Linked DNA regions of Elephas maximus indicus. The protein of the gene in region 2 purifies or fractionates together with the protein of the main gene of each other region. This does not show direct contact. Links are inferred from orthologs where the notes say so. Each region holds a gene or a part of one and is shown on either strand. Other genes may lie near its edges.

Evidence for each region.
Region 1: the proteins of DTL (region 2) and COPS4 purify together in Homo sapiens (affinity purification with mass spectrometry; 3 studies listed by BioGRID). This does not show direct contact. The link is inferred for Elephas maximus indicus from reciprocal best matches to the Homo sapiens genes DTL and COPS4.

The regions. Positions count from the first base shown.
Region 1 is NC_064823.1:73,285,285-73,302,076, forward strand, and holds the start of COPS4 (COP9 signalosome complex subunit 4), read right to left. Parts: upstream 7,931-16,792; 5' UTR 7,800-7,930; coding exon 7,726-7,799; intron 1-7,725. UniProt on the Homo sapiens protein: Component of the COP9 signalosome complex (CSN), a complex involved in various cellular and developmental processes.
Region 2 is NC_064842.1:634,365-650,386, reverse strand, and holds the start of DTL (denticleless protein homolog), read right to left. Parts: upstream 8,813-16,022; 5' UTR 8,692-8,812; coding exon 8,640-8,691; intron 1,036-8,639; coding exon 910-1,035; intron 111-909; coding exon 12-110; intron 1-11. Other genes in the region: INTS7 (integrator complex subunit 7), read left to right, coding at 9,143-9,236. UniProt on the Homo sapiens protein: Substrate-specific adapter of a DCX (DDB1-CUL4-X-box) E3 ubiquitin-protein ligase complex required for cell cycle control, DNA damage response and translesion DNA synthesis.

The DNA.
Region 1 (16,792 bases), on a different chromosome or scaffold from region 2:
ACTCTATTAAGGATCTATGGTGTAGCAGCGGTTTAACTGCTATAGCTTAACCAGCAGCTATGCAGGAGAAAGACCTGGTGATCTGCTTCCATAAACATTACAGGCAAGAAAACCCTATGGAGCAGTTCTATTTTGTCACATGGGGTTCCTGTGAGTGGGAACCAATTCACCAACACCTAACAACATTCCACTCTATTATGAGAATGTCTAACCCAGAGAATATAAGATGTTTACCTATGTTTTATTGACTATGCAAAGGTATTCAACTGTGTGGTTCCTAACAAGTTATGGATAACACTGCAAAGAATGAGAATTCCCGAACAGCTAATTGTGTTCATGAGGAAACTGTACATAGACCAAGAAGTAGTCGTTCAAACAGAACAAGGGGATACTGCGTGTTTTAAAATCAGGAAAGGTGTGCATCAGGTTTGTATCCTTTCACCATACTTATTCAATCTGTAAGCTGAGCAAATTATCTGAGAAGCTGAACTATATGAAGAAAAACATGGCATCAGGGTTGGAGGAAGACAAGCTGTAATATACAGATGTCACAACCTTGTTTGCTAAAAGCAAAGAGAACTTGAAGCACTTACTGATGAAGGCCAAAGATTACAGCCTTTAGTATGGCTTACACCTCAAAACAAAGAAAACAAAAATCCTCACAACTGGACCAATAAGCAACATCAGGATACAAAGAGAAAATATTGAAGTTGTCAAGGATTTCATTTTACTTGCACCCACAATCAACATCCATGGAAGCAGCACTCAAGAAATCAAGCGATGCACTGCACTGAGCAAATCTGCTGCAAAAGACCTGTTTAAAGTGTTAAAAAGCAAAGATGTCACTTTGAGGACTAAGGTGCACCTGACCCAAGCCATGGTATTTTCAACTGCCTCATATACATGCGAAAGCGGGACAATGAATAAGGAAGGCTGAAGACGAATTGATGCTTTTGGATTATGGTGTTGGTGAAGAATATTAAATACACCATGGACTGCCAGAAGAATGAACAAATCTGTCTTGAAAGAAGTACAGCCAAAATGCTCTTTAGAAACACAAGTGGTGACACCTTGTCTCATGTACTTTGGACACATTATCAGGAGGGACTAGTCCCTAGAGGACATCATGCTTGCTAAAGTAGAGGGTCATCAAAAAAGAGGAAGACCCTCAATGGGATGGATTGACACAGTGGCTGCAACAATGAGCTCAAACGTTCCACCAATTGTGAGGATGGCACAGGAGTGGGCAGTGTTTCGTTCTGTTGTACACAGGGTTGCTATAAGTTGGAACCAACCTGATGGCACCTATCAACAACAACAACAATCCAAAATCTTTCTGTGTGGAACAGAGAAGAGTCTATTTCCTTTTCTGCAAAACAGCTTTTCTGATATTCAAAGGCAGCTAAGAGGAATCTATCACTCTCTTTTCTCCAGGATAACAGAGTCTTGTCAAGACTCTAAGGGCCTCCCTCCTCTTGGTACCCTCCATACCCTAGAACTGAAAGATAAAGGAAAAAAAAGGTTATATTTTCATAAGATTAACTCATCAAAGACCTATTATCCATGACCTAGTCAGTACCTGTCCTCAGAGAGATCACATTCTAGTTGGAGGTGACAAGTTAACAATTAAGTGCTATGACAGAGGTAAATACAGGCCGTCATTGGCATGAGAAGTACAAACTAATCAGGTCTTGTGTTGGTGGGTGTGTACTGGAGGTTATTCAGAGAAGGCTTTCTGGAAAAACAAATATCTGAACTGAAGTTCTGAAGAACCAAGTAGGTTTTCACCAGGTAAATAGACAGGCTATCACTACAGCTATCTACACAAATCCTCCCTCTCAAGGCTCTTCTCCTCTCCTGATGTTTTAAGGCAGGCTTCGAAAGGCTCTTTCAAGTATTTTAAGATTCTATTCAGGAGCAATGATTCAGCCGATGATAACTACAAGAAATTACCAGAAACTTCTACACATACATTATATGACATCATCCTGACCTACCTATGTTTTCTTATATCTATATTATCTTAACCGGTCAGATCTAAATGTAAACCTTAAGAATTTTAATAAATACGCAAATAATCAACCGTCTTAGTATTTTATTTCTTAATGCTTCACCAAAGTACATTACCTATTTTCAGTTACCTCTACTTTTTAAAAGCTAGTGGAATTTCCTACCAGTTTGCTAATAGCACAATATATTTGATTTCCTATAGTAACTACAGAAAACAGTTTATTTTCATACTTCAATGTTTATTGTTTAAACAAAGTTCTTTTCTCAAGGAACTCTACTCCTATACCACAGGAAGGAGTAATTTAGTTTTAAAAATTATTTATTTAGGAATAAGATATCCTTGTTTATTTATTCATTGCCTTCCATAATGACAAAGCTTTTTTTCTTCCTTTTTAAATAAGACTTGATACTGGCTACAGTGTGATGACACAAGACATGCAATACGGCAATACATACCAAGCTACAAAAGTGGTGTGGTGGGTGCATCTGACTTCCTCTAACTTCACAAGGAAGGAGAGAATCACCAGCAATAGCCCAAAGATGATTCTTAAGTGGTAGAGATCAGGCATGCCTCCAATCTCCAATCTTTTTTACCAATTCTGACACCAACCATCCCTCCGATGGCACTCTCTAATTCTTTACCGTGTTCAATAATTTGCTACAATGGCCACACAAGACTCACATACCACACTCACGATTATGGAGTTTACTGGGGCAGGAACAGGTTATAATTCAGGTTCAAGAATGCTCAGGATACACTTCTTCAATCAGGACAGCATGTTCTCAGCCGTGCCCTCAGGCACACCTCTTTCTGGCCCCTCGGCCCGGCCTCTGTCCTGCTCAAGCAAGTGTTACAACAGTCTTTTGGCTCTGCCAATAAGTGCCCCAAGGCATCCCACTCTACCACTAAGCCGCAAACCTGAAGGCACTCGATTTTCACACTCTGTGTGCCAGGAAGCCCCACCACAGCTGTCTGGTGCTGATCTCCTGATTCCTGCCATCTCATGATGCCATCTCTTGCTGTCTTCTGTGTTACAGCTCTTCTCTCTGCCTTCTGGATCTAGGAGGTTATCAACATAAGGTTCTGGGTTCAAAGGACATACTCCACCCCTGGCTCTTCCTTCTTGGTGGTGTTGAGATCCTCTCTTCCCACTTCTGGAATGGCTCATTTTAAGCCTAGCAGGATGGCAAAACTGGCCAATCCCCTTGATAGGGTTCCAAATACCTCGTTGGCATGGACCCACCCCCACAAGGGTGCCATGCACCTTATTTACATTATTAGATAGCTATCCAATCCCAGTGGTGGGCCACGAACACCTCAATTGCATAGTCCCACCCAGTCACTTGGTGGGAGTTACAAATACTATGGCTAAAAGGGCCATATTAAGCAATTCATTGCACTGCACAAGCCTTTAAAAACTTTACAGCCTTTTTTCACCCAGCAATTCTCCTTAGGTAAGAATATTCCAAGTGGAAAAGGAAAAGTGGCCGGAGAATATTACATGCCTCTAGCTTCTCTATGTCTTACAGATACTTCCAGAAGTATGGCAAAGAGTGAAAAAAAGACACACACTGGAGCTAATTTCCAGCTACCATCTTCTCCCCAGTGGAAATATATTGGTTTCCAAACACTAGCTCCACCACCAGTCCCATTCCTCGCTGACTCCAATTTATTAAAAATTAATAAAGATAACAGATCTCTCCTTCTAAAGTGGCTAGAGCTTCCTACATAAGAGGACTGCTATGTAAAGAATTCTGGTTTTCTACTATCCCATTCCTCTTCAGGTAAAGCACTTGCGTAGGGCTAATAATTAATCTTGGTTACTTGTCCTTAGCAATCTGGGAGAATAGGGAAGCAGGAAAATTAAATTAAGCCTGAAGAGTGGGGTTTTCCACAGGGTTCACTTGATGGCCAGCCTGTGCTCTGCAGAGACTCTGCTTGCACGGTTCAAAGTAAGTAAGAGGATCAGAGATCATTTCCTAGTAGCTACCAAACCAAACCCACTGCCATCGAGTAGATTCCAACTCACAGTGACCCCTTAGGACAGAGCAGAACCACTCCATAGGGTTTCTAAGGAGCAGCTGGTAGATTCGAGCTGCTGACCTTTTGGTTAGCAGCCGGGCTCTTAAATCACTGTGCCACCAGGGTTCCCTAGTGGCTACCATAAGCTATAAATGAAGTGTGCCTCTTTAAGCAATAGTAGGCAATTTGCTTTCTACCAACTAAAGCAGCCTACCAAGAGAGAAGTGAATCTGAATCTGAGGCTGCAGCAATGACAAAATTCCCTACCATTAAAACAAAAAAAAAAGTCATGAAAGTTAATTCTAGAAAACTATGGTTTAAAAAAATAATAAGATAATCATCAAAAGGTAAATAAATGAAAACATTGTGAATTTAATTAATGCCACTGAATTGTACACTTAAAAATGTTTAAAATTGCAAATTTTATGTTATGTATATTTGACCACAATAAAATTTAGGGGGAAAAAAAGGGTGAATAAACCATACTTAGGAAACCCTGGTGGCGTAGTGGTTAAGTGCTACGGCTGCTAACCAAAGGGTCGGCAGTTCAAATCTGCCATGCACTCCTTGGAAAACTCTGGGTGGCAGTTCTATTCTGTCCTATAGGGTCACTATGAGTCAGAATTGATTCAACAGCACTGGGTTTGGTTTTTGGAAACCATACTTAATCTTATCTATGAATTCTACTTTTCTAAACAACATTAGTGTATTACCTTAGGTAAATAAGTTTTCTATATTCTATTAGGTTGAACTATGGAAAAAATCCTAATATTCATATGGTTCAACCTAATATAACTCCCTTTTAAAAATACTCAAATTCTTTCTGCAGGGCAATGAGTTTCTCTTTTTGTACGGCCTTTCTGGCCATGGTCTTATAACTCCCCCAAAATGACTGGGTGGAGCTATGCAAATAAGGTATGTAAAACTCTTGCTGGGATTGGCTTCATATGCAAATAAGGTGCCTGCCACTCACCAAGGGGATTGGTCAGTTTTGTCATCCCTCTAGGCTTAAAAAGAACCAATCCCAGAGGTTGAGGGGGACCTCACTACCATCAAGATGAAGAGCTAGGAGCAGAGCATGTCCTTTGGAACTGGGTCCCTGCACTGAGAACCTCCTAGCCCCAGGAGACAGACAGCGTAACACTGGAGATGGCCAGAGGCCTGCCTGCAGGCACAGCCAAAAAGAAGCCAAACAGGGCCCGGCTGGAGCAATGCTCCTGTTACCTCTAAGTTTATCCTGATCCTGAACTGTAACATGTCACTTCCCTAACAAGCCCCATTAATTGTAAGTATGGTCTGTGAGTTCTATATAGCCACTGCAATGAATTATTGAACCCAGCAGAGAAGTAGAAAACCAACTTACTCTATTATTCACTAATACAGAATCCTTTGCTGTCTAGCTCCTAGCATAAACCCTAAAACAACTGTTCTATTTCAAAAGTGTTTCTCTCATAAAGCATGTATCCCACAAAACTGTTCTGTTACAAAGATAAAGATCTTGACACATTCTTGCTCAAATAGGAAGACATTTCATTCCTGCTGGAAGGTGGACAGAATATGTACCTGCTGAAAATAAAGAAACTCTGAAGGAGTTGCTAGCTAGCAGTGCACTACCAGTTACCAAGCACTTATGTGACTGGCAGCAAATAACAACAACGAAAGGGCTAAAAGCTCTATATGCATTATTTTATTTAATCTGCACAATAACCCCACATGGTAAATTGTTACAGTAATGGCCTTCAAAACGTCTCCTTCTGTTCATGCTCTTTTGCAAAGTAACCCTGCTGCTCCTACCAGAAGAGGCAGACTCCATTTCTCCTCCTCTTGAATCTAGGCTGGTCTTGTGACTTACTTTGACCACTACTGGAGAACTGATGTAAAACTTCCAAGGCTAGCCTTAAGATCTTGCAGCTTCCACTCATCCTCTAGGAATGCTACCTTGGCCGTGTAAGAAAGTCTCAGTTAAATCACTAAAGGACAGAACATGTAAAGAGGAGAAGAAGAAAAGAGAGAGACACACACACAATGACCCAGTCAACAGCCAGATATCAGTCCATTTTAGACCCTCCAAGCCCCAGCTGAGCTGCCAACTGACTGCATCTATATGAGTCCAGCAGAGACCAGAACACTTATTCAGCCCACAGAATCCTGAGAAATATTAAATAGTTGCCTTATACTAGTACATTTTGGCTTGCTACAAAGCAATAAATAACTGAAGTACCCTAATGAGATCAGTACTGTTGTTACCTCCATTTCAAAGCTTTGGAAGTAAATGCTTAATTCAAGAAATCTGCAAATTTTTGAAAAGCAGTATCTCTTTTGATAACTAGTGCACATATTTTTCTTCAACAAAATAAAAACCAAGCAAGCATGGAGAAAAATATAAGCTAGTTTTACTTTTATCTGAATCTATAAAAATTACGTTCGAAAAGGATTGAGCCATGAAGACAATATTCAACATATTTCCAACCTACAGAGTAAGTCAGTATGTATGTACTGATTGCTTAATTAATAATAGTACTAATCTTATGGCGCTTTCTGTCAGGTACTGATTTTAAGTGATACACACACACTCACTTTATCCTCCAACAATCCTATGAATAAGTCCTATAATTATCTCCATTTCCCTGATGGGAAAATAGGGGCACAAAGTAGTTAAGCCCAAGATACACAGCTAAGTTTCTACTGATAAAAGCAGGTATTTACCACCAGAGGAAAGGCAGCACAGACTAGGTACATAAAAAAGATCTCAATATCCAGGTTAGGGCAGGTGTATATCATTAATATAAATCGAAGTGATCTCAGTTGTCAGAATGTAAATTTTAGGGTCAACTTGAGAGGCATACTTCTTACAGAATGCGTGTTTATTACAGAAGAGCAGTACTGTGAAATCCACAAGGGAAACAGGGAATGAGTAGATATATGTATACTGTTTAACAACTGACTGTAGGGCAGTGAGGGGCAAACACCTGTCACAATTTTTATATTCTAACTTGGAGTGGACCAAAGCCTTCTACACAAATTCCGACAGAATTCTAACAATCCAGATTCCTGCAAATATCACTACACTAGACATCCAGACCCACGTTATGAGGGCACTCCGCCTATGTGACAGAAATATATTCCCTCTTCTTCAGAGCTGGTGGCAGAGAGAGCACCAAAAATACAAGAACTCACAGATGTTCCGAGTGATTTTGGGCGACATGATAGCGGCCATACCTCCTCAGCCTCAGTCAACCCGAAGAAGCTATTTCCCCGAGAAATTCTTAAGCAAGGCTCCAAAATACGAATTTTCCTCAATTTAAAAAAAAGGGGGGGTGGGGGGAGTTCCAAAGAGAAGCCAGAATTCGGTGTGAGAGGCCGGCCAGCGAAAAGAAGAGGCTGAGAAGGCCTTGGAAGTAACCGTTCTGCAGACCAGGCTTCCAGGATTCCAAGAGGCCTGTAACGGTGCTATCAAGGACTGAATAAATTGACAATCACCCCAGGACTACGGCCCCGAGGGCTCCTGCACAAGGTCCCCTCCAGCTTTCTGCTGCTCCCAACATTTGCCTCTCTAACCGACCTCAGGCCCGCCCCCTCGGTCTTCAGGCCGGCTCCTAGCCTGACACTCAAGAGCCGCCGTCAGTACAAGGACAACAAGTCGTGTGGCTTCCCTTGCCACCTCTACTCCCGTGCCCCTGGGAAACACTCACTTGCCCGCCAGATCTTTATGAGAGCCACTCGAATTCATGAGCTGGGCCAAATCCTGCCGCACCGCTGCCGCCATCTTTCCTCCAGCTCAGCCGCGGCTGCGGGGCCTCCCGCCGCCAAAAAGAAACCGAGCGCGGTCCTCCAGAATGCAGCTAGAGGGAACCCGAGAGGCCACAGAGTAGCGCGCGAGTCGGCCAGAGCGCCGGAAGTGAATGTGTGCGGCAGCCTGCGCTAGCTTAGCCCTCAGAGTTGAGTAAAGCGAAACTCCAAGCCTCACGGTAGGGACCCGCCCAGGCCTCGCCCACAGACCCGGGCGACGCCGTCCTCCTCGACTTCGGATTGGCTGATGAACTCCAAAGGAGTGTGCCGCTTGTGCAACTCACCGAGTGCCCGCATCGCTAAATTTTGTGTCTTTGTATCTGTGATTTACTGTTCCTTGGTCTTTAAGGCAGCGATTCTTAAACCACTTCTGGTAAAGAACGAGTTATTTTTGTTTAAAATTCATCGCAGACTGCTACTTTTGTTGCTGTTAGGCGCCCTGGAGTCAATTCGACTCATACCGACCTATGTATACCAGAACACTGCCCAGTCCTGCGCCATCCTCAGAATCGCTGCTGTTTGAGCCCATTATTGTAGCCAGTGTGTCAGTGCATTTTGTCGAGGGTCTTCGTATTTTTCGCTGACCCTTTACTTTACCGAATATGATGTCTTTCTCCAGGGACTGGTCCCTCCTAATAACATGTCTAAAGTACGTAATACCAAGTCTTGCCATCCTCCTTTTTAAGGAGCATTCTGATGGTACTTCCTCCAAGACAGATTTATTTGTTCTTCTGTCAGTCCATGGTATATGCAATATTCTTTGCCAACACCATAATTCAAAGGCATCAATCCTTCATCAGACTTCCTTATTCATTGTCCAGTTTTCACACGCGTATGAGGCGACTGAAAAGTACCACGGATTGGGTTAGGCGCACCTTAGTCCTCAAGGTGACATCTTTGCTTTTTAACCCTTTAAACAGGTCTCTTGCAGCAGATTTGCCCAATGCAATGCATTGCTTGACCGAAACAAGGATTTCCTTTTAAGCAAGTAATGGGGAGACTGCACATACCAATTCAGGTCACATTCTGTTGGCAAGAATTTAGTCACATCACTATGCCAAGCAACAGTAAAACTGGAAATTTAGCTTCCAATTGGGCAGCCTTGTGCCCAAGAAGGAAAGAATGAGTGAATTTGGATGGACGATCTGCAGTCTCTACCACAATCTTCCCTCTGACAAGTATCTGTGTATATCCTTCTCACAGCAGAACATCCTTATTCTCCCTGACTAAGGAAAGATGCTCAATTTCCTATTCGGTTTCTATATCCAGCTTAAAATCTAGGATATCTGGTGATGCACAATCCTTTCTATGAAGTTGTGTTATGACTTTTTCATGGTCTAGAGACTTGTACACTAAAAAAAAAAAAAAAGCTGTCTGCCCCATGCCCACACACATACAACACAATATAATACAATAGTGGGGTAGGAAGAGGATAACCACAGTTACTGAATGAGAAACATGGTAGTTACTGGTCCATAGCAGTGGTAGAATACTAACCTGTTACCATAAAGATTACAGCCTAGAAAACCCTACCCAGCAGCTCTACTCTGTCATACGGCGTTGCTATGAGTCGAAATCAACTTGATGGCACCTAACAACAACAGTGCCCTGGTAGTGGAATAAATTCTTTGGTTAGTCCCTGGTTTTGCTCTCTGAAGATCTCCATTGCCCATTTTATTCTGTGGGCTCAAGCTTTGCTTTCCTTTTACAAGTTAGCTGTATGTTGCAGAGTATGCCCTCTTTGGGTGATGCCTTAGAACTTGATCAACTGAGGAATGTTGTAAGCCAGGCTTGTCCATTTTTTGTTGTGTTTTAATACTATTCCATTGAACATGTAGTATGATCTGACTGTTTGCTTCCAGATAGTTTCATGTGCCAGTAACCACACTGAAGTTCTTTCTAGGTATAGTTCTTCAACCTGTGGAATTTCCTTGCTTCCATAGCTCAACCTATCCTTATTGCTCTCGTTTTAATGGAGGAAACCTTGAACCATCTAAAACGAGAGGCTTCTGAGAACTTTATTAATTTTATTTTTGCTGCAAGCTTGCTTATCTTTGTTTTCTATTATTTTTTGTTTGTGGTTACAGAAGTCTTAATGGGCCATGAGAAATGGTTTAAACTAAGCCTTCTCTCCTGCTGCTTAAGACTGCATAAACAGACTCAACTGAAATAAAACGGATCATAACAGAATACTATGAAAAACTGTACTCCAACAAATTTGAAAACCCTGAGGAAATGGACAAATTTCTAGAAACACACTACCTACCTAACTAACACAAATGAGGTAGAAAAATTAAACAGAGTCATAACGAAGAGATTGAAGAAGTAGTTTAATAAACTCCCCCTCCCCCCCCCAAAAAAAGCCCTGGTCCAGATGGCTTCACTGGAGAATTCTACCAAACTTTCAGAGAAGAGCTAACACCAGTACTACTCAAGCTATTTCAGAGTGTAGAAAAGGAAGGAATACTCCTGAACTCATTCTATGAAGCCAGCATAACCTGATACCAAAGTCAGGCATAACCCTCATGAACATAGGTGCAAAAACTCTTAACAAAATTCTAGCCAGTAGAGTCCAACACATCAAAAAAAAAAAAAAATACATCAAGACCAAGTGGGATTCATACCAGGTATGCAGGGATGGTTCAACATTAGAAAATCAATCATCATAATCCATCACATAAATAAAACAAAAGAAAAGAACCACATGATCTTATGAATCGACACAGAAAAGGCATTTGACAAAGTCTAGTACCCATTCCTGACAAAAACTCTCAGCAAAATCGGAATAGAAGGGAAATTCCATGATATAGTAAAGGGCATTTATACAAAACCAACAGCCAACATCATTCTAAAGGGAGAGAGACTGAAAGCATTCCCCTTGAGAATGGGAACCAGACAAGCATTCCCTTTATCACCACTCTTATCAACATTGTGCTAGAAGTCCTAGCCAGAGCAATAAAAAAACCCCATTGCTGTTGAGTCAATTCTGACTCGTAGCGACCCTATAGGACAGAGTAGAACTGCCCTAGAGAGTTTCCAAGGAGCGCCTGGTGGACTCAAACTGTTGACCTTTTGGTTAGCAGCCGTAACACTTAACCACTACACCACCAGGGTTTCCAGCTAGAGCAATAGGCAAGAAAAAGAAATAAAGGGCATTCAAATTTGTAAATGTCTTAGGCCGGGTTCCCTAGAGAAGCAAAACCAGTAAAGTGTATAAATATATATAAAAAAAAAAGAGAGAGAGAGAGAGATTTATATCAAGGAAATAGCTCACACAGATGTAGAGGCTAGAATGTCCCAAGTCTGTGGATTATCATAGAGGCTTCTCCTGATTCACAAAGCAGCAGAGGCTGGCAAACCCAAGATCTGCAGGCCAGAGAGCAGGGCTTTTGCTCATAGGCTTCAAAGATCGATGAATACCAAGATCAGCAGCCAAGGCTGCAGTAAGGACCACATTCCAGGACGAAAGGCTATACCCTAGGAATTAGGGCAAAACCCAAACAGACACACCCAAACAATACCTAAAACCAAGTTTCCATAGCTGTGCCATTCAGTACAGTAGCCACTAGGCACATGATCATTTAATTTTAATTAAAATTAAAATGTACTTTCTCAATGTATTAAGAAAACGTTCTGCATCCCACTTTGGTGAATGGCATCTGGGGTCTTAAACACTAGCAAGCAGCCATTTAAGATGCATCAATTGGTCTCAACTCACCTGGAGCAAAAGAGAATGAAGAACACCAAAGACGTAAGGTAAAGATGACCCTAAGAGACAGAAAGAGCCACATAAACCAGAGACTACACCAGCCTGAGACCAGAAGAACTAGATGGTGCCTGGCTACAATGGGTGACTGTCATGACAGGGAACACAACAGTGAATCCCTGATGGAGCAGGGGAACAGCGGGATACAGATCTCAAATTCTCATTAAAAGACTAGACTTAATGGTCTGAATGAGACTAGAGGGACCCCGGAGGTCACGGTCCCCAGACCCTCTGTTAGCCCAAGATTGGAACCATTCCCAAAGCCAACTCTTCAGACAGGGATTGAACTGGACTATAAAACAGAAAATGATACTGGTAAGGAGTGAGGTTTTTGGCTCAAGTAGACACATGAGTCTATGTGAGCAGCTCCTGTCTGGAGGCGAGATGAGAAGCCAGAGTGGGACAAGAGCTGGTTGAATGGACATGGGGAATACAGGGTGGAGAGGAGGAGTGTGCTGTCTCACTAGAAGAAGATAGCAAATTGTGTATAAGTTTTTATATGAGGGACTGACTTGATTCGTAAACTTTCATTCAAAGCACAATAAAAAATAAAAAAAAAAAAAGAGAGACTGAAGGGGGACATCAGCCTAGGGGCAGGGGCAGGTGGGGACAGGAAAGCTGGGATTGGGAAGCCCAAGGTTGAGAGGGGGAGAGTGTTGACATGTCGTGGGGTTGGCAACCAATGTCACAGAGCAATATGTGTACTAGTTGTTTAATGAGAGGCTGGTTTGTTCTGTAAACCTTCATCTAAAGTACAATTTAAAAAATGTACTTCCTCAGTCATACTAGCCACATTTCAAGTGTTTACAGCCACATGTGATTAGTGGCTATTTTACTAGACAACACAGATTATAGAATTTTTGGGGGAAAAAAAAGTTTCAATTTCCCTGAAACCTCACCAACATTTATTTATTTTATTTTTTGTATTATTGCCAGTATTGTTGGGGTGAGATGGTATCTCATTGTAGTTTTGATTTGCATCTCTCTAATGGCTACTGGGAAACCCTGGTGCATAATGGTTAAGAGCTACAGCTGCTAACCAAAAGGTCAGTAGTTCAAATTCACCAAGTGCTCCTTGGAAACTCTATGGGGCAGTTCTACTCTGTCTTTTAGGGCCTCTATGAATCAGAATCGACTCGATGGCAATGGGTTTGGTTTTTTGGTTTAATGATTAATGATCACGAGCGTTTCCTCATGTATCTGTTGGCTACCTGAATGTCTTCTTTGGTGAGTGTCTGTTCATAACCTTTGAAGCATTTTGTAGATTTTAGAGATTAGACCCTTGTCAGATATGTCGTAGTCAAAAATTTTTCCCATACGATCCAGCAATCCCACTCCTAGGAATATACTCTAGAGAAATAAGAGCCACAGTGTGAATAGACATACGCATACCAATGTTCATTGCAGCACTATTCACAATAGCAAAAAGATGAAAACAACCTGAATGCCCATCAACAGATGAATGGATAAATAAATTTGGTACATACACATACATGAAATGTTATGCAATGGTAAAGAACAACAATGAATCTGGGGAACATCTCACAACACAGATGAATCTGGAGAGGCTTATGCTGACTGAAAAAAGTCAGTCAAATATTGTATGAGGCCACTATTATAAGAGCTCAAGAAAAGGTTTACACACAGAAAAAAACATTCTTTGATGGTTACAGGGGTGGAGAGGATGTGGAAGGGAAACCACTAACTAGATAATAGACAAGTGTCAACCTCAGTGAAGGGAAGGACAACATGCAATGTAGGGAAGTCAGCACAACTGGACCAAAGCAAAAGTATAGAAGTTTCCTGGACATATCCTAATACTTTGAGGGACCAAGTAGCTGGGGTCGGGGGTTGGGGACCATAGTCTTAGGAGATACCTAGATCAATTGGCATAACATAGTTCATAAAGATGTTCTACATCCCACTTTGGTGAGTAGCGTTTGGGTCTTAAGAGCTTGCAAGTGACCATCTAAGATACATCTATTGGTCTCATTAAGTCCAGAGCAAAGGAGAATGAGGAAAACCAAAGACACAAGGCAAATATTAACCCAAAGGACTAAGGGACCACATGAACCAGAGACTCCACCAGGCTGAGACCAGAGAAACTAGATGGTGCCTGGCTACTACCAATGACTGCTCTGACAGGGATCACAACAGAGAGTTCCAGAGAGAATGGGAGAAAAATGTGGAGCAGAATTCTAATTCACGAAAAAAGACGAGACTAACTGGTCTGACAGAGACTGGAGGAACCCCCAAGACCGTGGCCCCCAGACACTCTGCTAACCCAGAACTGAAACCATTCCCAAAGCCCACTTTTCAGACAAAGATTAGACAAAAGATTAAATAAAAAATAACACACATGAGGAATGTACTTCTTAGTTCAATCAAATACACAAGACCAAATGGGCAGCTCCTGCCCAAAAGCAAGAGGAGAAGGCAGGAAGGGACAGGAACTGGACAAATGGACACAGGCAACCCGGGATGGAAAAGGGGAACGTGCTGTCATTATTGTAGGGATTGCAACCAATTTCACAAAACAATAGATGTATAAATTTTTGAATGAGAAATTAACTTGAGCTGTAAACTTTCACCTAAAGCACAACAAAATTTAAAAAAAAAAAAAAAAGATTGTACAAGCAGGTGGCTTTTTCAATTTGGTGAAGCCCTAGATTTTCTGGATATTTTATTTCCATCTCACCCTGACTTCAAACTTGACTTATAATACCTTGCTAAAAGCAGCAAAAAGCAGTCACACATACAAACTAGCTCTTTCCAGATAATTGCACTAGTGCTACAAGCTAAAGAGGAAGGCTTTCTGCCCTCCTAGTTTTCGTAGGCAGCAATTTTAACAAGGCTTCCTCTTTCTAGCCTGCTCATTCCCGCTGCCCAACCTCTAAGAGAATACCACATATTTTTAGGTTTTAGTTATAGCAGTGAGGAAAAACAAACCTGAAGGCAGTGGAGGATTATTATCTCCCTCCTTTGAGTTATTTAACAAGGACTTATCTAGGCACATCTGAATAAATTTAAAGAAAATGCACAAATTCTAGCTAATTTTTACTATGCAAAACCTTTGGCCCCAGCCCAGACCTACTGGATCAAAATCTGTATGTTAAAAAAATCCCCAAGTAATTTTGTTTAAGAAGCATTGTTCCAGCAGATGCCAACCCCATTGGTATATTAACTCCTTTAGCTAAATTCTAAGGACCCCTGGTGGCACAAAGGCTACTAATTGAAAGGTGGGCAGTTCACACCCACCTAGTGGCTGCCCTGGAGGAAGACCTTGTGATCTGCTTCTGTGAAGATTACAGCCTAGAAAACCCTATGGGTCAGCTCTACTCTGTCACATGGGGACGCTGTGAGTCAGAATTGACTTGATGGCACCCAACAACACCTAAACTCTGGTCTAATAAGGCCATTTCCCTGACTAGGGATTTTCCTGCTGTTACGTACTCAACTAGATGGCGCCTGCCTCCTCACAACTTCCCCATAAGAAGTCATCATGTGGTCTTTTGCTGGAGCATCTTCCACTTTTGTCCCCTATGCCCAGCCCAAATATATCCCTGTGCGGGAAGAAGAGCATGGGTGATTGTACATATTCTGCTGTTTCATTGTCAACAAATCCTTACTCTACATTTTTCTTCAAGTTATGAGTTGAATTTTATCTCCAAAAAATATATATAGAAGTCCTAGCTGCCCTCACCATGTGAACGTGACCTTACTTGAAAATAGGGTGTTTGTAGATGTAACCGGTTAACACGAAGTTGTACTGGAGTAGGGCGGACACTAATCCAATAGGACTTGTGTCCTTATAAAGGGAGAAGAGCCACAGATGCAGAGACAGATGTAAAGCTGGCCATGTAAAGATGAAAGCAGAGATTGGCGTCAACGCGGCCATAAGCCAAGGAATATCTGGGGCCACGAGAAGGTAGAATAGGCAAGCAAGGATTTCTCTCTCTCCAAGAGCCTTCAGCGAGAGCATAACCCTGCTGATTTTGGACTTCTATCCTCCAGATCTCTGAGAGAATAAATTTCTGTTTTAAGCCACCCAGTTTTGGTACTTTGTTACAGCAACCAAGGAAACTAACACACTCTATGTTGCTAGAGCTAGGTGGCAATTGGCTGTGGGTTCATCTTGAGTGTTTTCTGAACTAGACAACAAATAAGCCATTTCTCCGAGAAGCTCTAGTTCCTTGTAGTGAGGAATGATATTTAAAGACCATAATCTGAGTGATAGTCATGTACATTCCTACCGTATTAGTCATACTGGGGCCTCTTCAAAGGAGAGAGCCAGAAAATATATACATATTTTAAGGATCAAATACTTCATGAGTTCATACTGATCATTCCAATTCCAGTTTAGGACTAGAGTGGTTTTACTTAACATTTTCTATATTACATCTTTATCTATGTATTTCCTCATTCAGAATTCTGGTTCACAGGTACATAGGGGATGATAGAATGACAGTATCCCGAATTACTCATTTTCTTCATCCCACATGACACACACAACAGCCTCAGAATAACCATACTAACACCCTGATATGATTAATGAAAACAGGGGAATATTTTTCTGCATTTCCTCTCCCCACTGTCCCTCGTTTTTTATAATTGTTCTATATATTGTCAGCACATATAGCCCTTACAAGCTATACTTTCTCCCTTTTGGTTCTCATTTAGTTTTAGTTCTACAAGTAATATTTAATGCTCACCATTAGTTCTTTGTAATATTTCGATGTTTTTGGATTCTGTTAAGGCTTGCTTCATGACTTAATATGTGGTCTATTCTAGAGAATGTTTCATGTGCGCTAGAAAAAAAAGTATACTTGGCTACTGTTGGATGGTGTGTTCTGTATATGTCTATGAGGTCAAGTTGGTTGATTGTGGCATTTAGACCTTCTGTGTCTTTATCGAGCTTCTTTCTGGATGTTCAGTCCTTCACCGAAAGTGGTGTCTGGAAGTCTCCCACTGTTATTGTGGAGCTGTCTATCTCACTTTTCAATGCTGTTAGAGTTTGTTTTATGTTATCTTGAAGCCCCGTCATGAGGTGCGTAATTATTTAATATGGTTATATCCTCCTGGTATGTTGTCCCTTTATCACCATTAGTTCTTATGGAGCCCTGGTAGCATAGTGGTTAAGAGCTTGGCTGCCAACCGAAAGGTCAGCAGTTCAAATCCACCAGCCACTCCTTGGAAATCCTATT
Region 2 (16,022 bases):
CCAAGACTTACCTTTGAAGCAGGTCTTTCTGCCAGTTTGTGATTTTGTGTTGTATAATCTCACAAAGCCCTCTTCATTGGCAACTGCTAGGATATGCTCCATATTGGGGGCTAAACCAGAAACAAACAACAGAATATATAAAAAGTACAACAGCACAAAAACTTTACAGTTCAGTGGAAGGATAAAAAGTACTATACAATAGATGAAGTGAAAGCTACAGGGTAAACACAAAGAATCTGTTCGAAGTAAGGGCAGAAGATTTTACTCGAATGTCATCTGATAAGGTAGGGAGGTAATTAGAACAAAAGGTTGCTTAAAATTTGCCATAATTTCTAATTCAGCAAATAACTCCAAAGCACCCAAATTATCTTCAGATAATCTCTTACTGAGAGAGAAGTTGAATTAAGGATGAAACGTTAAAAAAAAAAGTGGTACTGGCCAATGGCAAATAAAGGTATACGATGATAGAAGTCACCAACAGGCTGAGTCTACTTGTTTCAAATTTCCTCTTCCCAACCTTTTACACTCTTCTGCTAACAGTGGGATCGAGTACTTATATTTCTGTTCACGTGTTCCCCAATGCATGACAGAAAGAGAGAAATTCAACCAGATTAAATGGTTATCTACAGGGCAAAACAGTTGTCGTGATGGCTGAACCTTGGCAGCCCTTCCTCTACACCAGTTCAAAAAGTGGTGCTGTGGTATCCTGTGCTTTACAGAAAACTTATAACTACACACAGAGATTAAGGAAAGTATATTTCATAAAACTGGACAGAACAGCTATTAGAAAAACCCCATCACCTGCCTAACTTACTTTTCCTTGTAAAGGAGACCTCCCAGTACATTCTTCTTTCCAGTGTGAGACAGATTATTTCTGTCCCAGTCTAGCCCAGATAGTAAGACCCTTACCAGATGAGAAGGTACATCCAAAAGGAGGGACTGGGACGCCTGTTTCTCCATAAGAAGTGTGTTCATCACCATAGCTGCATTGGTAAGCAGTTAGAAGGGACTGTAGAGGGTATTGCGAAGACCACCCTAAAACAAGACACAATTCCTTATGGAATTCCAATATATCATCACATTTCGATACTTTTAACAAATGCAGAGGTATTTGTTCTTAAAGGGCTTTATATAGTCAGTATGGGTCCACTCACTAACCATGGTCCTCTAGAACGCACAGTTTCTAGTATTTTCTTAAAGGGTCTAAGGAAGAAGTAGAAGAGTACTTCCAACTACTAGCGAAGTAGAGCTTTGGGCTTACCATCTTAAATGGAGACAGACTCTCACAAGACACTAATGGACTCTGCACATTAAAAAAGATTCTCCCTCCCCTGCCAAGATATCACCACAAAAGCATTACCGTTAAAACTGCCATTCCCTTCAATTGAAATATTGTTTTTGGAGTCTCTAAATCAACACTACTTGCTGTGTACCATCAAGTCAATTCTGACTACTGGACAGAGGAGAACTGTCCCCATCTGGTTTCCTAGGCCATAATCTTTATAGGAGCAGATCACCAGGTCTTTTCTCCTTTGCAGCAGCTGGTGGGTTTCAACCACTGATCTTTTGGTTAGCAGCTGAGCACTTAACCACTGTGCCACCAGGGCTCCATAAATTAAAAAAAATGCTACTACATACTCTTAATTACTAGCAACATCATACATAATCCAGTGGTCAAAAGAGTTAAGAGATGATATACACCAATGTGCCTACTATCCCAGTAACATAGTTACCAAGAGAACACTAATACTGCTTCCTCTTTCCTTTCCAGTCCTGAAATTCTAGAATTCTAAAATGTTAACACCAACAAGTCCTAGTATCTTAAGGTAAATTAGAGCAATTTTAAAGTAAAGTGTTATGTACTTAGTCCTAGAAGAATCATCAGTTAGCTTTGGCTAGTAGGGTAGGAAAATTCTTTAGAGGAGGTGAAAATAAACAAAGGTCATGAAAGATGAGTAAGTTTTCACTGAATGCAGAAGACACAGCAATAAATTCAACGTGGAGGGAAAGTTCATTCTGCTTTGGTCAGAGACCCAATGTGCAGTGTGGTCCTAAACAGTAAGCCTTGTTCAGGGACTTGTTTTTATTTTAATGATGTGTGGGTCAATACATCTTAAATATATAAAGGAAACATTCATTCAACAAGGGCTTACTGAGAACCAAATTTCATAAGTATAGAAGGAAGCAATGACTGACAATCTACTGAGAGCTGTCTAAATAACAAAAATACAGAACGATGGACGTGCTAGAGATAGAGAACAACAATCTGTGGGGCAGGAGAAAGAAAACTACTGTATGTGCCCAAATAGGTCAAGCTTTTCCCTGAGAATGATTGCTCTAAAAGAGGAATTTATATTCTAGTTCTCACAAACTCTCTCATGCTTTCAATTCTTGCTTTTCACTAAAAGTACTGTTTGGAGAAGCCACCTTAGCCTGACATATTCTCAGCCACACTAACCTTGGATGGTCATAGAGATAACTGGGAGGGGTCAATGAAAAGGAGGCAAAGAAATTGGACCCAGATTTAGTAATTATTCCTGGGAGTATCCACCACAATTTTCAGGTCAGACATCGTTGTAAACAAGCCTTTAAAGACCAGAAAAAACAGCAACACAATAAGTGGTTATGTTGTAGAGTTCACAAATACCCGTCTACAGAATGAGTTTTAAAAACAAATGCTTCTGTTCTAATGTTACGTAACTATATACTTGTGGTTTAGGATTAAAAACCAGAATCTATTCTGGAGCCATTGAGTTTGGATGAATCCCCAAAACTATTGCCTTGAAATAATCTTTAAAACTTAAACAACAACAACAAAATCGACCCGTGAAGTCTTTAAACCAAACAGTTTGGCTAATTAGTAAAGACTGCCTTGAACATTGTGCTCTTTTAAGATCTGAAAAAAAAAAAAAAAAAAAACCAAACCCACTACCATTCCGACTCATAGTGACCCTACAGGACAGAGTAGAACTGCCCCACAGAGTTTCCAAGGAGCACCTGGCAGATTCCAACTGCTGACCCTTTGGTTAGCAGCTGTAGCACTTAACCACTACGCCACCAGGGTGGGATTAAATTGACAGCAGCAACTCTGGAAAGATTAGATAGGATACTTAGGGGCCAGAGAGTTTATTCTAATGGGGGAGGAACAATTTGGAAAAGGAGGGTAAGAATAGCTGCACAACTTGAAGAATGTAATCAATAACACTGAGTTGTACATGTGGAAACTGTTGGATTGGTATATGTTCTGCTATGTATATTCTCTACAACAACAAAAAATAAAATGTATTATAAAAAAATCTAGGGACAACTACATATGAATTAAAAAGGGTTGAATCTCAAACAATTTAGGTAGAATTGAAAGTGATATACTCTGGAAAACCTAATTCTTTACAATTATGCAGTGACCTCTCAATTCTGCCTCATTGTCTACAGACTGGTATTCAAACACCCTTGTATATAGCCTAACGTACTTGGTGACTGGTTCCCGCCTACTCCATTTCTGCACTCCCCACAACACACTCCATGTTATCAGTCACTTTTGGGTCCTTATTGTGCTACGCTGTTTTCTACTTCTGAACATGCACCTGGGATGCTTTTCCACATAACAGCCATTTGGAAAAACCTATTCTTTCCTCAATGAACAATTAGCCCCTAGGGTTACATGTAAATTTCTCAAGAACTACACAAGGGCAGAATTTTCAGAGAACCAACTGTCAGATCTTCAACTTCCATATATATATTTCTAAAACTGATCTGAGAAGGTCGAGGCTTTCCTTTCCCCCTCCCTCATCATCACTGCCTTTCTATACTTTCTAAAAGAAAGGCATTTCCACTCCCCGACTTTTATACCTTGCATTGACCAAGGTACAAATGCTTCTAGGACTGTAACTAGAAGACGATTGGATAGTTCCTTTGTTAAAGACCTCATAAACACTCACCCAGATCCATCTCTTCAAAAGATGTACTACCAATGAAATTTGATTTTTTGCTTAACAATTATTTATCAAAATAAGTAATCTACACCGTTTTGATCAATTGTGTACTACTAATAATCATAGTAATAACTCAGTCCAGAAGAAACTTCTAACAACTGGAGCCCTATGACAAAGAAATCATCAATGTAAAAATATTTTTGACACAGAGTAGTATAATAAGTGATTAATAAAAGAACTTTTCGGACATAAAGTTAAATTATATTGGGATAAATTCTGTGAGGGAAATAAAATGCAAAAAAGTTAAAGGGGGAAAAGTAACTATGTAATATGTAAAGCAGTTAAAGAAGATTTTGTTCATATTTTTAAAAAGTGAAGAATGTAATCCACAAATCATCGTAGTTTTTATAACCTAGTCGATACATTGGATTGCACTGGGCAAATCTGGTACAAAACACTTCTTTAAAGTGTTACAAAACAAAGATGTCACTTTGAAGACCCAAGCCATGGTATTTTCAACCATCTCATACGCATGAAAAAGCTGGGCAATGAATAAGGAAGACTGAAGAATTGATGCCTTTGAATTATGGTGTTGGCGAATATTGAATATACCACGGACCTCCAGACGAACAAAACCAATCTGTCTTGGGAGAAGTACAGCAAGGATGCTCCTCAGAAGTGAGCATGAAGACTTCATCTCTTGTACTTTAGACACATAATCGGGGGAACCACTCTCTGGAGAAGGACATCATTCGTGGTAAAGTAGAGGGTCAGTGAAAAAAAGGGAGATCCTCCATGAGATGGACTGGCACAGTGGCTGCAACGACGCACTCAAGCATAACGGCGATTGTGAGGATGGTGCTGGATCGGGCAGCGTTTCATTCTGTTACGCGTAGGGTTGGTACGAGAGTCAGAGCCGACTCCCCAGCAACTAACACAGAACACACCTCAGTACTGGCTGTCATGGATTGAAACACGTCCCCCAAAAACATGTGTGTCAACTGGGCTAGGCCATGACTCCCAGTACTGTGTGGTTGTCCTCCATTTTTTGATTGTAATTTTATGTTGAGAGGATTAGCGTGGGATTATAACACCACCCTTACTCAGGTCACCTTCCTGATCCAAGGTAAAGGGAGTTTCCCTGGGGTGGGGCCTGTACCACCTTTTATCTCTCAAGAGATAAAAGGAAAGGGAAGCAAGCACAAAGCTGGGGACCTCATGCCACCAAGAAAGCAGCACCAGGAGCAGAGGACATCCTTTGGACACGGGCTCCCTGCGCCTGAGAAGCTCCTCGATCAGGGGAGGATTGAAGACAAGGACCTTCCTGCAGAGCCAATAGAGAGAGAAAGCCCCTGGAGCCAATGCCCTGATTTGGACTTGTAACCTACTAAACTGTGAGGAAATAAATCTCTCTTTGTTAAAGCCATCCACTTGTCATATTTGTTATGGCGGCACAAGATGACTAAGACACTTGCTTTTTTATTTTGTTTTATTTTGAGTGGTCAGCCATTGTGGCCTCTTGAGTCCCCCAACTTTAAATGTCTGAAGGCTTCTGGTCTCCCTGGGAGTTGGCTGAGATGCAGAGGCAGCCAGGGCTTACCTGTACATGCACTTAAAGACCAGTTCAGTAAAAGCACACAACTTAAAGAAAACACTCTTGAATTAAATTCTCTATAAGCACATGCATTTCAGTACTCCTTTGGCTACGTGACTACATAAATCCCCTTCCTCGTAAGTCTTTCTAGCTTACGGGTTCCTTGGTAAACTGATGAATAGAATAAAATTCTTGACATGTGTCTCCTATATTTTGCATTAAGAACCCTGTTTTTAACTTTTTTGAAAATTACTCCTTGATGGGTGTATTACAGGGATCTTCACAGAAGTGACGTTTTACCTGGACTGGTTCCCCCATCTGATTCCCTGTCTTTCAGGACCTCTTCCCTGAACCCCCTGAGTAGGATGGGGGCCTTTAGTAGAACAGTAGTGTTCCCCCAAAATGCCTCAGGCAAAATTTCCTCTATCATTGCTTATGATATTGTTTTTTAAAAGTATGTGTGTTATTTCTGCATTCTGTCTCTTAGAACTTGTTTTTAATTACATAAGTAATGTATGAATGCATTCTACAGGCAGTCCCCTGTTGTTCATAGGGTCGTTACAGGTCAGAACCGACTTAAAGGCTCCTAACAACAACAGATACATTTAAAAAGGGATATAACATTTTAATTTTAAATGTCAGTATTCACAATATCAAAATTTATATTTTTTGTATCTGTTTAAACTTAAGATAAAAAATTTTGATACCAATTTAAAAATGCACAGGAGTGATCAGATTTCCATTCTTGAAAATATTTCTGGCAGCAATCTGGAGAATAAACTGGAGGGGGGAAACTAAAAGGCCACTTGGGAGACGTAAGAGTCCAGATAAGACGGTATTAGGGCCCAACTCAGGGAAATACCGTGGTAAGGAAAGAACAGGTCTAAGATGGAGCGAAGAGGCAGAATCGATGGTGATAGAGAAGACAGGACAGAGTCCAGAGGCTTCACAGAATCTTTTTGAATGTATATAGTAAAGATAGAGGAGTCTTGGATGATTTCAAAGTTTCTGGCTAGGAAGACTGGTTTAAAATAATGAGCCCAATCCCTAAATTAGGTAATACAGCAGGTTTTGGGGAAAACAGTTCAGTTTTGGGCATCTGAGTTTGAGATGATCATGGAACCAAATATCTGGGTGAAGATGTCCACACAGCTTTTATAGGAATGGGTCTAAAGCATAGGGGAGGGAAACTGTAGCAGTGGAAGAGGCCCTGGTTATGACACTGAGCATCTAATAGAGTAAGTGGAAGAAGAAAACGAGCCAAGGATGGAACACTAACACTGAAGGGGTAAGGAAAACAAGACAGTCCTGTAAATTTCAGTGTTTAACGTATAGCAGGAGTCCCTGGGTGGTGCAGTTAACGCGCTTGGCTGCTAATCAAAAGGCTGGTGGTTCGAGCCCACCCAGAGGTGCTTTTGAAAAAAGGCCTGGCGATCTACTTTCAAAAAAGCAGCCGTTAAAACCCTATGGAGCACAGTTCTATTCTGACACACATGGGGTTGCCATGAGGCAGAATCGACCATTCAGCCAGCAACTGGTGGTTAACAGGTAGCAATGAATGAATTCTTGTGAATTGGAGAAAGAAAGGGAGAGGAAGAAGTAGACAGATAGACTGGAGAATTAGGAGAATATTTGTGGCAAGATAGAGGGGCTTGCCTCAGGTCACACAGATAGCAAGGAGAGGAGCTGGAATTAAAACTCAGTCTAACTCCAAAGACAGAGCTCTTCATCACTGTGCTGCCCTACCTACCGATCGTGACACAGAGGTCAGAGAAATTTCTCATGTAAGGTCCTAGGAGAGATAGTAAGCAGGGAATTTAGAAAACAGCCAAAAAAAAATATTTAAGAGGGAAGTTAGTAGGGATGGTATGTAGTGTTAGACTGGTAGCGGGAAGCTGAGGGGCTGCTCCTCAGTCTCCCTCCCAACATCCTTTTCCTAGACCTTCCTCTTAAATACAGAAAGTTCCCTTCTCAGGTTCTTTCCTTTTCGTTTTCCACAGAGTTTCAAGGGGAAGGAAGACCTTCCAGTGTAGTCAACATTAAAATATGTGACATTTAATTTGTCTAAGTCTAGCCTAGGTAGCAACTCCCTTATCAGTTTAAGTTTCATACAGAAAGTTTTAGACACCGAACTCCAAGTTCAAAACTCTTGCTGACAATGTTTTATAAGGAATCGAAAGAGCTGTAGAGAATAAGTTGGATTTCTACATAATATGGAAAGACATCCAAGTTATACCGTTAAAATGAAAAACAAAACATTTTTATCTCATTTCCGTAAATAACAATACATATTACCACTGGCATAAAAAAACACCCAAAATACTATACTTCAACCATCAACAGTGGTCCTCTCTGGGGGATGTTCTGATTACGGAGATCTTTCATTCTATAATTTCGAGTTTTTATGAACATGTAATAATCAGGAAAAAAAAAAAAAAAGACAACTTTTGACCTTCTAGAAGCACATGGTCTAACTTTTCTGCTTGAGCAAGTTCCTTAGCAGCGCGTCCCACTCATTCGTGGATCATCTAGACATCGGTTCTAGGACCAATGGATGAGTTAACGCACACGCGCCGCGCACGTTGTCCAACGCCAGCACCTCAGTTAACGCTGCACACAGCTGTGGGGGGCGCCGCGCACGTTGTCCAACGCCAGCACCTCAGTTAACGCTGCACACAGCTGTGGGGGGCGCCGCGCACGTTGTCCAACGCCAGCACCTCAGTTAACGCTGCACACAGCTGTGGGGGGCGCCGCGCACGTTGTCCAACGCCAGCACCTCAGTTAACGCTGCACACAGCTGTGGGGGGCGCCGCGCACGTTGTCCAACGCCAGCACCTCAGTTAACGCTGCACACAGCTGTGGGGGGCGCCGCGCACGTTGTCCAACGCCAGCACCTCAGTTAACGCGCGCCACAGGCGCGAGGCCGTAAAGCGCCCCGGGGGTCAGTCAGTTAGCTCCCCGCCCCTCCGGCCCGCCCCGAGGCGCTGAAAGCACCTTTCCTCAGCAGCCCGCGCGAAGGCTCTGCTGGCGCCGCGGGACACTCGCCGGGCCCGGGTGTCGTGTTTCGGGGAGGTGACCCCCAGCCACGAGCGGCGGTTAGGACCGTTACTCACCATTTCTCGGGACGCCAAGCTGGGGCTGGCGGAGCACCAAACTGAAGAGCATCTGGGCCAGAGGAAGACGCGCAGTTGAAGAAAAGGCTCTGAAATGCCCTAGGTCCCGCAGAAACCGCAGCCTGCACCCCAAGAACAAGACCAGGCGCTGCCTTCCACTCCCGCCACTGCAGGCTCCAGCCACCAAACTCCGCGCCAAACTGACGTCACGCTCTCTGATTGGCTCCCGCCGTGGCGTCATGGCGCCGCAGAGTCACTTCCCCCTCCGGAGCCCCGCCTCCTCTTCGCCGGTCCGCGGGAACCCAGAATTCAAGAGCCCCTTGAGCGCCTGCGCGGGGGGTCGAAGAGGCGCTGGCGAACCGGGGGATGGCCAGGGCGCATGCGTAACACGGCTTGCCAGCGCGCGGAGGGAAAATCCGCGAGAAGGCGGTGAAGGAAGATGGCGGGGTTGGGGCAGGGTTTGCGGCCTTTCTGAATAGGCTAGTCAAGTAACTATTCAGGTCATGGCGTCAAACTCAACTAAGTCTTTCCTGGCAGATGCCGGCTATGGCGAACAGGAGCTAGATGCGAACTCCGCCCTTATGGAACTGGACAAAGGTATGGGAAGGAGAGGGGGAGCCGGCTGAACGCATGAGAGGGAAGTGGCGCCCCCAGGTGGCGGGAGCCTCGGGAGAGGCGGCGGGAGCGCGTGAGAGGGCAGTGGCGCCCCCAGGTGGCGGGAGCCTCGGGAGAGGCGGCGGGAGCGCGTGAGAGGGCAGTGGCGCCCCCAGGTGGCGGGAGCCTCGGGAGAGGCGGCGGGAGCGCGTGAGAGGGAAGTGGCGCCCCCAGGTGGCGGGAGCCTCGGGAGAGGCGGCGGGAGCGCGTGAGAGGGAAGTGGCGCCCCCAGGTGGCGGGAGCCTCGGGAGAGGCGGCGGGAGCGCGTGAGAGGGCAGTGGCGCCCCCAGGTGGCGGGAGCCTCGGGAGAGGCGGCGGGAGCGCGTGAGAGGGAAGTGGCGCCCCCAGGTGGCGGGAGCCTCGGGAGAGGCGGCGGGAGCGCGTGAGAGGGCAGTGGCGCCCCCAGGTGGCGGGAGCCTCGGGAGAGGCGGCGGGAGCGCGTGAGAGGGAAGTGGCGCCCCCAGGTGGCGGGAGCCTCGGGAGAGGCGGCGGGAGCGCGTGAGAGGGAAGTGGCGCCCCCAGGTGGCGGGAGCCTCGGGAGAGGCGGCGGGAGCGCGTGAGAGGGAAGTGGCGCCCCCAGGTGGCGGGAGCCTCGGGAGAGGCGGCGGGAGCGCGTGAGAGGGAAGTGGCGCCCCCAGGTGGCGGGAGCCTCGGGAGAGGCGGCGGGAGCGCGTGAGAGGGAAGTGGCGCCCCCAGGTGGCGGGAGCCTCGGGAGAGGCGGCGGGAGCGCGTGAGAGGGAAGTGGCGCCCCCAGGTGGCGGGAGCCTCGGGAGAGGCGGCGGGAGCGCGTGAGAGGGAAGTGGCGCCCCCAGGTGGCGGGAGCCTCGGGAGAGGCGGCGGGAGCGGGCCGGGGTGGCCGAGGGCTTCGGCGGCTGGTGGGAACCAGAGGAAGGCTGCAGGGTCGCCCTGTTGGCCTTGACCGCATAGCTGGCTGTCTTACCGGCGAGCTCTCGTCATGGGCATTTTGGCCACTTGAGGGGACGATCCCCTGGTTTTCCAAGCACTGAAAATGGCTCGTTTCTAAAAATGCTAAGGTGAAATTATTTTTTGATATGTTCAGTTGAGCCCAGGTTTTCATGAAGGGTGCCGAAGAATAATCTTGCGCCAGCGCTGTGAAGATTGAGTGGGTCTCCGTAACTCCTTGCTGCGTGCGGGATGCCACGCAGCTTAAACTCGGGAAGGCTTGGTCTCCCCCGTCCCCGCAAACGGGCTCCCCGAGCCGTTTCCTAGGCGACCGGGCGGGGGCGGGCTTCCTAGGGTGGAAGGAGGAGCTTTGGGTGCCCTGAGTTCAAGTTCAGTGCTGCAGGCTTCATCGTCACGGACAGGTACCTTACTTCACCTAGCCTCGGTTTATCGGCGTGGGAAGGGGGTGCAGGTACTAATGAGAAACTTGTTCCACTGCACTTGAGGAATTTTTATTGTGTAGGAAAAGCATATTTTGCAGCTGATACAGTTAATTCTTGATTATCCGCAGCCAGTGTGTAATGTACTGAGAATTGGACCGTGAGTCAGAAGGATCTGCCTGTAAGTCCCCTCTGAGCCGACTTGGACATGTCTATTAACTTCTTTGGAACTCCTTTTTTGATTTTCTTTTCTTGTTTTGCTTGTTCTTTAACCTGTAAACATTTTTAGTAGGTTGACTAGATAAGAGTTTCTCACACTTTTTTTCTCTTTTGGCATTTACCTCCTTTTTATCAATATAAAAACGTCACAACGCCCCAATGGACTGTTCCTTTGCTTGAGTCTCAGTATCTTTATCCATCTTCTCTAGCCAAGAAAATGTTTAGCTTTGCTTTCGATTACCAAAGCTATAAGTCTTTCCCCTGAAATATTAAATTGTAATATTAAACATGTTTTTTAAACACTACACAGTCTTTCCCTCTCCATCCTGATAGGCTTTTCTCCCTTATTCCCCAGTGTGAGTTGTGGGTCTTGTGCTGTCTGATACACAGCTGGCCTTGTCCCATGCTGACAGCAGGACAGTGTTTGTACAGCCGGGATCAGGATGGGGCACTGAAGAAATGAGAAATCTAGAATTATTTAATTTCTGAAAATTTGCAGTTGTGGTAGAAATAACAACTAAATTTTCTCTTAAAGAACAGTTGAAATAGGAATACTTTAGGTCAGTAAGGAATAAGTGGATGGCTACTGACTGTTCAGCTGGAAACCAGATGTCAGCCCTCGATCCTTAGTGTTTATGTTCAGTTCTCCCAGCAGTGCCCTGGGGAGTATTGTACAGATGAATCTCAGACTCAGAAAGATAACTTGTCCAAGATAAGTACAAAACTCTTGTTCTTTTTCACCTCACCATGCTGTACCTTTGAAAGCTGTTAGAAAATTAAACTGCAGAAATAGTTTCATTAGACTATATAGTATTTTAAATATTGAATCATTTCGTTTTTTACCTATTAACAATGTTTTATGTTTTGTGAGCCAAAGGTCATAGTCAGAAGGCTACAAGTTCCAACTTTTTGTTTTCCAGAATGTAGTCCGAGGAATACTGTTTATGAAGTATTTAAAAATCCCTGTCTCTCTCTCTCTCTAACACACGTGCACACACACACATCTTATTTGATCAGCAGTTAACAAATGAAGATCAGTAGACTCATTTTTACATATGACTGAGTGCTATATCTTGTGACTTACAAAGGGAATTATTAAGCATTTCTAAGAGTTGGTATTCACAGGCTGAAATTAGTATTCTAAGAAATGTGGATAATGCACGATATTCCATGTATCCTACTATGTACATTTACAGGCAGAATTTCTGAAAATTGGGGGAAGGGTGCTTTATTATTAATTCATTATCAGTTGAGCGGACTGTCATTTCAGTTGTTTTTATTCCTGCTTTTTAAATGTAAATTACCGAGGCTTTGTCCTTATCAATTTAGTGAGCTTTGGGTTATCAGAGAGGTAGCTGCCATCAAATCGACACCAATCATGGCGACCTTATGTACAACAGAATGAAATGTTGCCTGGTCCTGCACCATCCTTACCATCACTGTCATGGTCGAGTCTGTCATTGTGGTTGCCATGCCAGTCCATCTCACCAAGGGTCTCCCTCACCCACCCTCTACTTCACTAAATGTGATATCCTCCTCCCATGGTTAATCCTCGTTATGAGACATCAAAGCAATCGAGTCAGACAGTGATCTGTTATGATCCATAAGGTTTTCATTGACTAATTTTTAGACATAGATTGCCAGGCTTTTCCTCCAAGTCTGTTTTAGGCTGGAAGTTGTGCTGAAATCTGTCCCCCTGCCGTGCCGGCAGCAGTCGTGGTTGTGTTCTTAGTGTACAGTGGTCGCAGCAATGGCTGCAACATCCCTGGATGACAGCAGAGCTAATTGTAGCATCTGGTACTCATGGTGTCAGAATCTTTTGATGAGGGCATTCTTCTTCAGGTTGGATGTAGCTAGCAGCGGAACCCCTCTTAGGTCAGGATTTGATGGACTGAGCTCCTGTTTTGGGGTCCTTAGCTTAGTCTTGAGTCGAAATTGGCTTTAGAGCAAGCAAGATGGGTACCACAGCCTCCCCAGCCTACGGTTATCGCTGAGGCCATAAAGCACTTCTCTGCCCTCTTGCACCCAGGTCCTGTCTGTCAGCGCCAACCTAAGACTCTTTCTCCTAAGACTGTTACATCAGAAAATAAACCAGAGATTTATTACTATTTGGTTCATTTATCCTATGGCTCTGTTAGAGGAATGGGGGTTTATTTTATCTTAGATAAAATTAAGCAATACTAGAAATCAGAACATGTCTCTGACCATATCAAGATTATCTTTGGTACATTTTAGACCGGCACATTTATTAAATCAGTGTGGCCTGTGACTTTGTTTTCTAAGGGAAGATAAAACGTGGTCATATCGGTAGGGGAGTCTCCCCACACATGGGCTATTCCTGCTTTATCTTTTTCCCAACCAAGGTAAATTCGTTACAGAAGGAGCTTTACCATCCTTTGCATTTAACTCGACAACTGGCAGTGAGAAGCGGAGGAAAAAAGTCCTCTTACTGTGGATTTTCCCAACAGCCCCTGCCCCCGTGCGTGCACGTGAGCGCACATCTTCTGTTCCTTCTCCCTTCCTCTCACCTCCCATCCTCAGCCCTTGCTTTCCTTCTTCTGCCCTTCCCTGTGTCCTTTGCTGCCCTATCTGCTTGTCGCTTCACCCTGGTTTCATATCGGGCTTTTAGAAAAGTCTTCCTCAGGCTACAGGAGCCACTGCCTGTGACTTAGAACGTCCCGACCACACTGCCTGTTTGGTGGGAAGACTCTTCTAGAGTCTCAGAGTGTGTGAGAGGGGGAGGGGGAGGACAAGAACAAGGGATCAGACAAAGAAGGGGCATGTTCCCAATATCCCAATCAGGAATTTCAATTAACTTGAGTTAATTTTCCTGTAGAAGCTTCTGTCAGTGGTTTATTCTGTAAGTGGTTATTAGGTTCTAGACTGCTGTGCGTGCTGGTGAATTGTTGTAGCTCCTGTGAGGAAATACGTTTCAAGTATTCAATAACTGACTTGAGTGTATTTACAGAACATAACCGGTTAGTAAGTTGTAGCAACTGCCAGTGCACACTTAGTTTAGTCTTTTGTATTGAAACAGTGGCACCCAGATAAAGCCTTCATGTGAACATATCCCTTGTCGTTTTTTAACAACAGCAGAAATTACTGAACAAAGATTTATTTATTCCTTCTGCAGATATAATCCACATTTTTGTGAATGGTAAAGTACTAGAAGGGAATATTCGAAGCTGGTGCTATTAACTTCATATCAAAGTATTCTTTTTTTTTTCTTAATAGATTTTATTATGCCAGTTGACTTAGATGTCCTCTGAAACCATTTGCCCATGATACGCTGGCTTTCAAAGCGTTCAGTTTATTCAGGAACCTTCTTTGCTTTTGGTTTAGTCCAGTTGTGCTGACCTCTCCTGTACTGCGTGTTGTCTTTCCCTTCACCTGAAATAGTTCTTATCTACTCTCTAATTAGTGAATGCCCCCTCCCTCCCTTTTCCCTCTCTCCCCTCTCTCGGGACCATCAAAGAATATGCTCTTCTCAGTTTAAACTATTTCTGGAGTTCTTATAATAGTGGCCTTACACAATATTTGTCCTTTCCCAGCTTACTAATTTCACTCAGCACAGTGCCTTCCGGGTTTCTCCACGTTATGAAATGTTTCAGGGATTCATCGTTGTTCTTTATCCACGCATAGTACTCTGTTATGTGAATATACCATAATTCATTTATCCATTCATCCGTTGATGGGCACCTTGGCTGCTTCCGTCTTTTTGCTATTGTAAACAGTGTTGCAGTGAACAAAAAAACAAACATGGTGTGCATATATCTGTTCGTGTAAAGGCTCATATTTCTCTAGGATATATTCCAAGGAGTGGGATTGCTGAATTGTATGGTAGTTGTTCTATTTCCAGCTTTTTAAGGAAGCGCCAAATCGATTTCCAAAGTGGTTGTACCATTTGACATTCCCACCAGCAGTGTATAAGTGTTCCAGTCTCTCCACAACCTCTCCAACATTTATTATTTTGTGTTTTTTGGATTAATGTCAGCCTTGTTGGAGCGAGATGAAACCTCGTTGTAATTTTGATTTGCATTTCTTTAATGCCTAACGATCGTGAGTATTTCCTCATGTTTCTGTTAGCTGCCTGAATGTCTTCTTTAGTGAAGTGTCTGTTCATATCCTTTGCCCACTTTTTAATTGGGTTATTTGTTTTTTTGTAGTTGAATTTTTGCAGTATCATGTAGATCTTAGAGATCAGGCACTGATCGGAAATGCCATAGCTAAAAACTTTTTCCCAGTCTGTAGATCATCTTTTTACTCTTTTGGTGAAGTCTTTGGATGAGCATAACCCAACCCACTGCCATCGAGTCAATTCTGACTCATAGCGGATGAGCATAGGTGTTTGATTTTTAGGAGCTCCCAGTTATCTATTCTTCTGCATTGTTAGTAATATTTTGTATACCGTTTATGCCATTTTTAGGGCTCCTAATGTTGTTCCTATTTTTTCTTCCATGATCCTTATTGTTTTAGATTTTCTATTTAGGTCTTTGATCCATTTTGAGCTTGTTTTTTTGTGCATGGAGTGAGGTATGGGTCTTGTTTCATTGGCCTTCTCTGCATTGATTGATAAACATGTGGTTCTTGTCTTTTATTTTATTTATATGATGGATTATATTGATTGTTTTTCTAATGTTGAACAACCCTGCATACCTGGTATGAAACCCACTTGGTCATGGTGAATTATTTTTTTGATATGTTGTTGAATTCTATTGGGCTTGAATTTTGTTGAGGAGTTTTGCATCTAAGTTCATAAGGGATACAGGTCTATAATTTTCTTTTTTTTGTGATGTCTTTACTTGGTTTTGGTATCAGGGATATGCTGGGTTCATAAAATGAGTTTGGGAGTCTGTTGTAATATCGCCCATCTCATTTCTTATTCGGGTTATTTGCTTCCTCTCCTGTTTTTCTTTTGTCAGTTTGGCCAGTAGTTTATCAATTTTGTTAATTTTTTCTAAGAACCAGTTTTTAGTCTTCTTAACTCTTTCAGTTGTTTTCCTGTTTCCTATTTCATTTAGTTCAGCTCTAATTTTTATTATTTGTTTTCTTCTGGTGCCTGAGGGTTTCTTTTGTTGCTCTCTTTCTATTTGTTCAAGTTGTAGGGATAATTCTTTGATTCTGGCCCTTTCTTCTTTTTGTGTGTGTGCATTTTTTGATATAAATT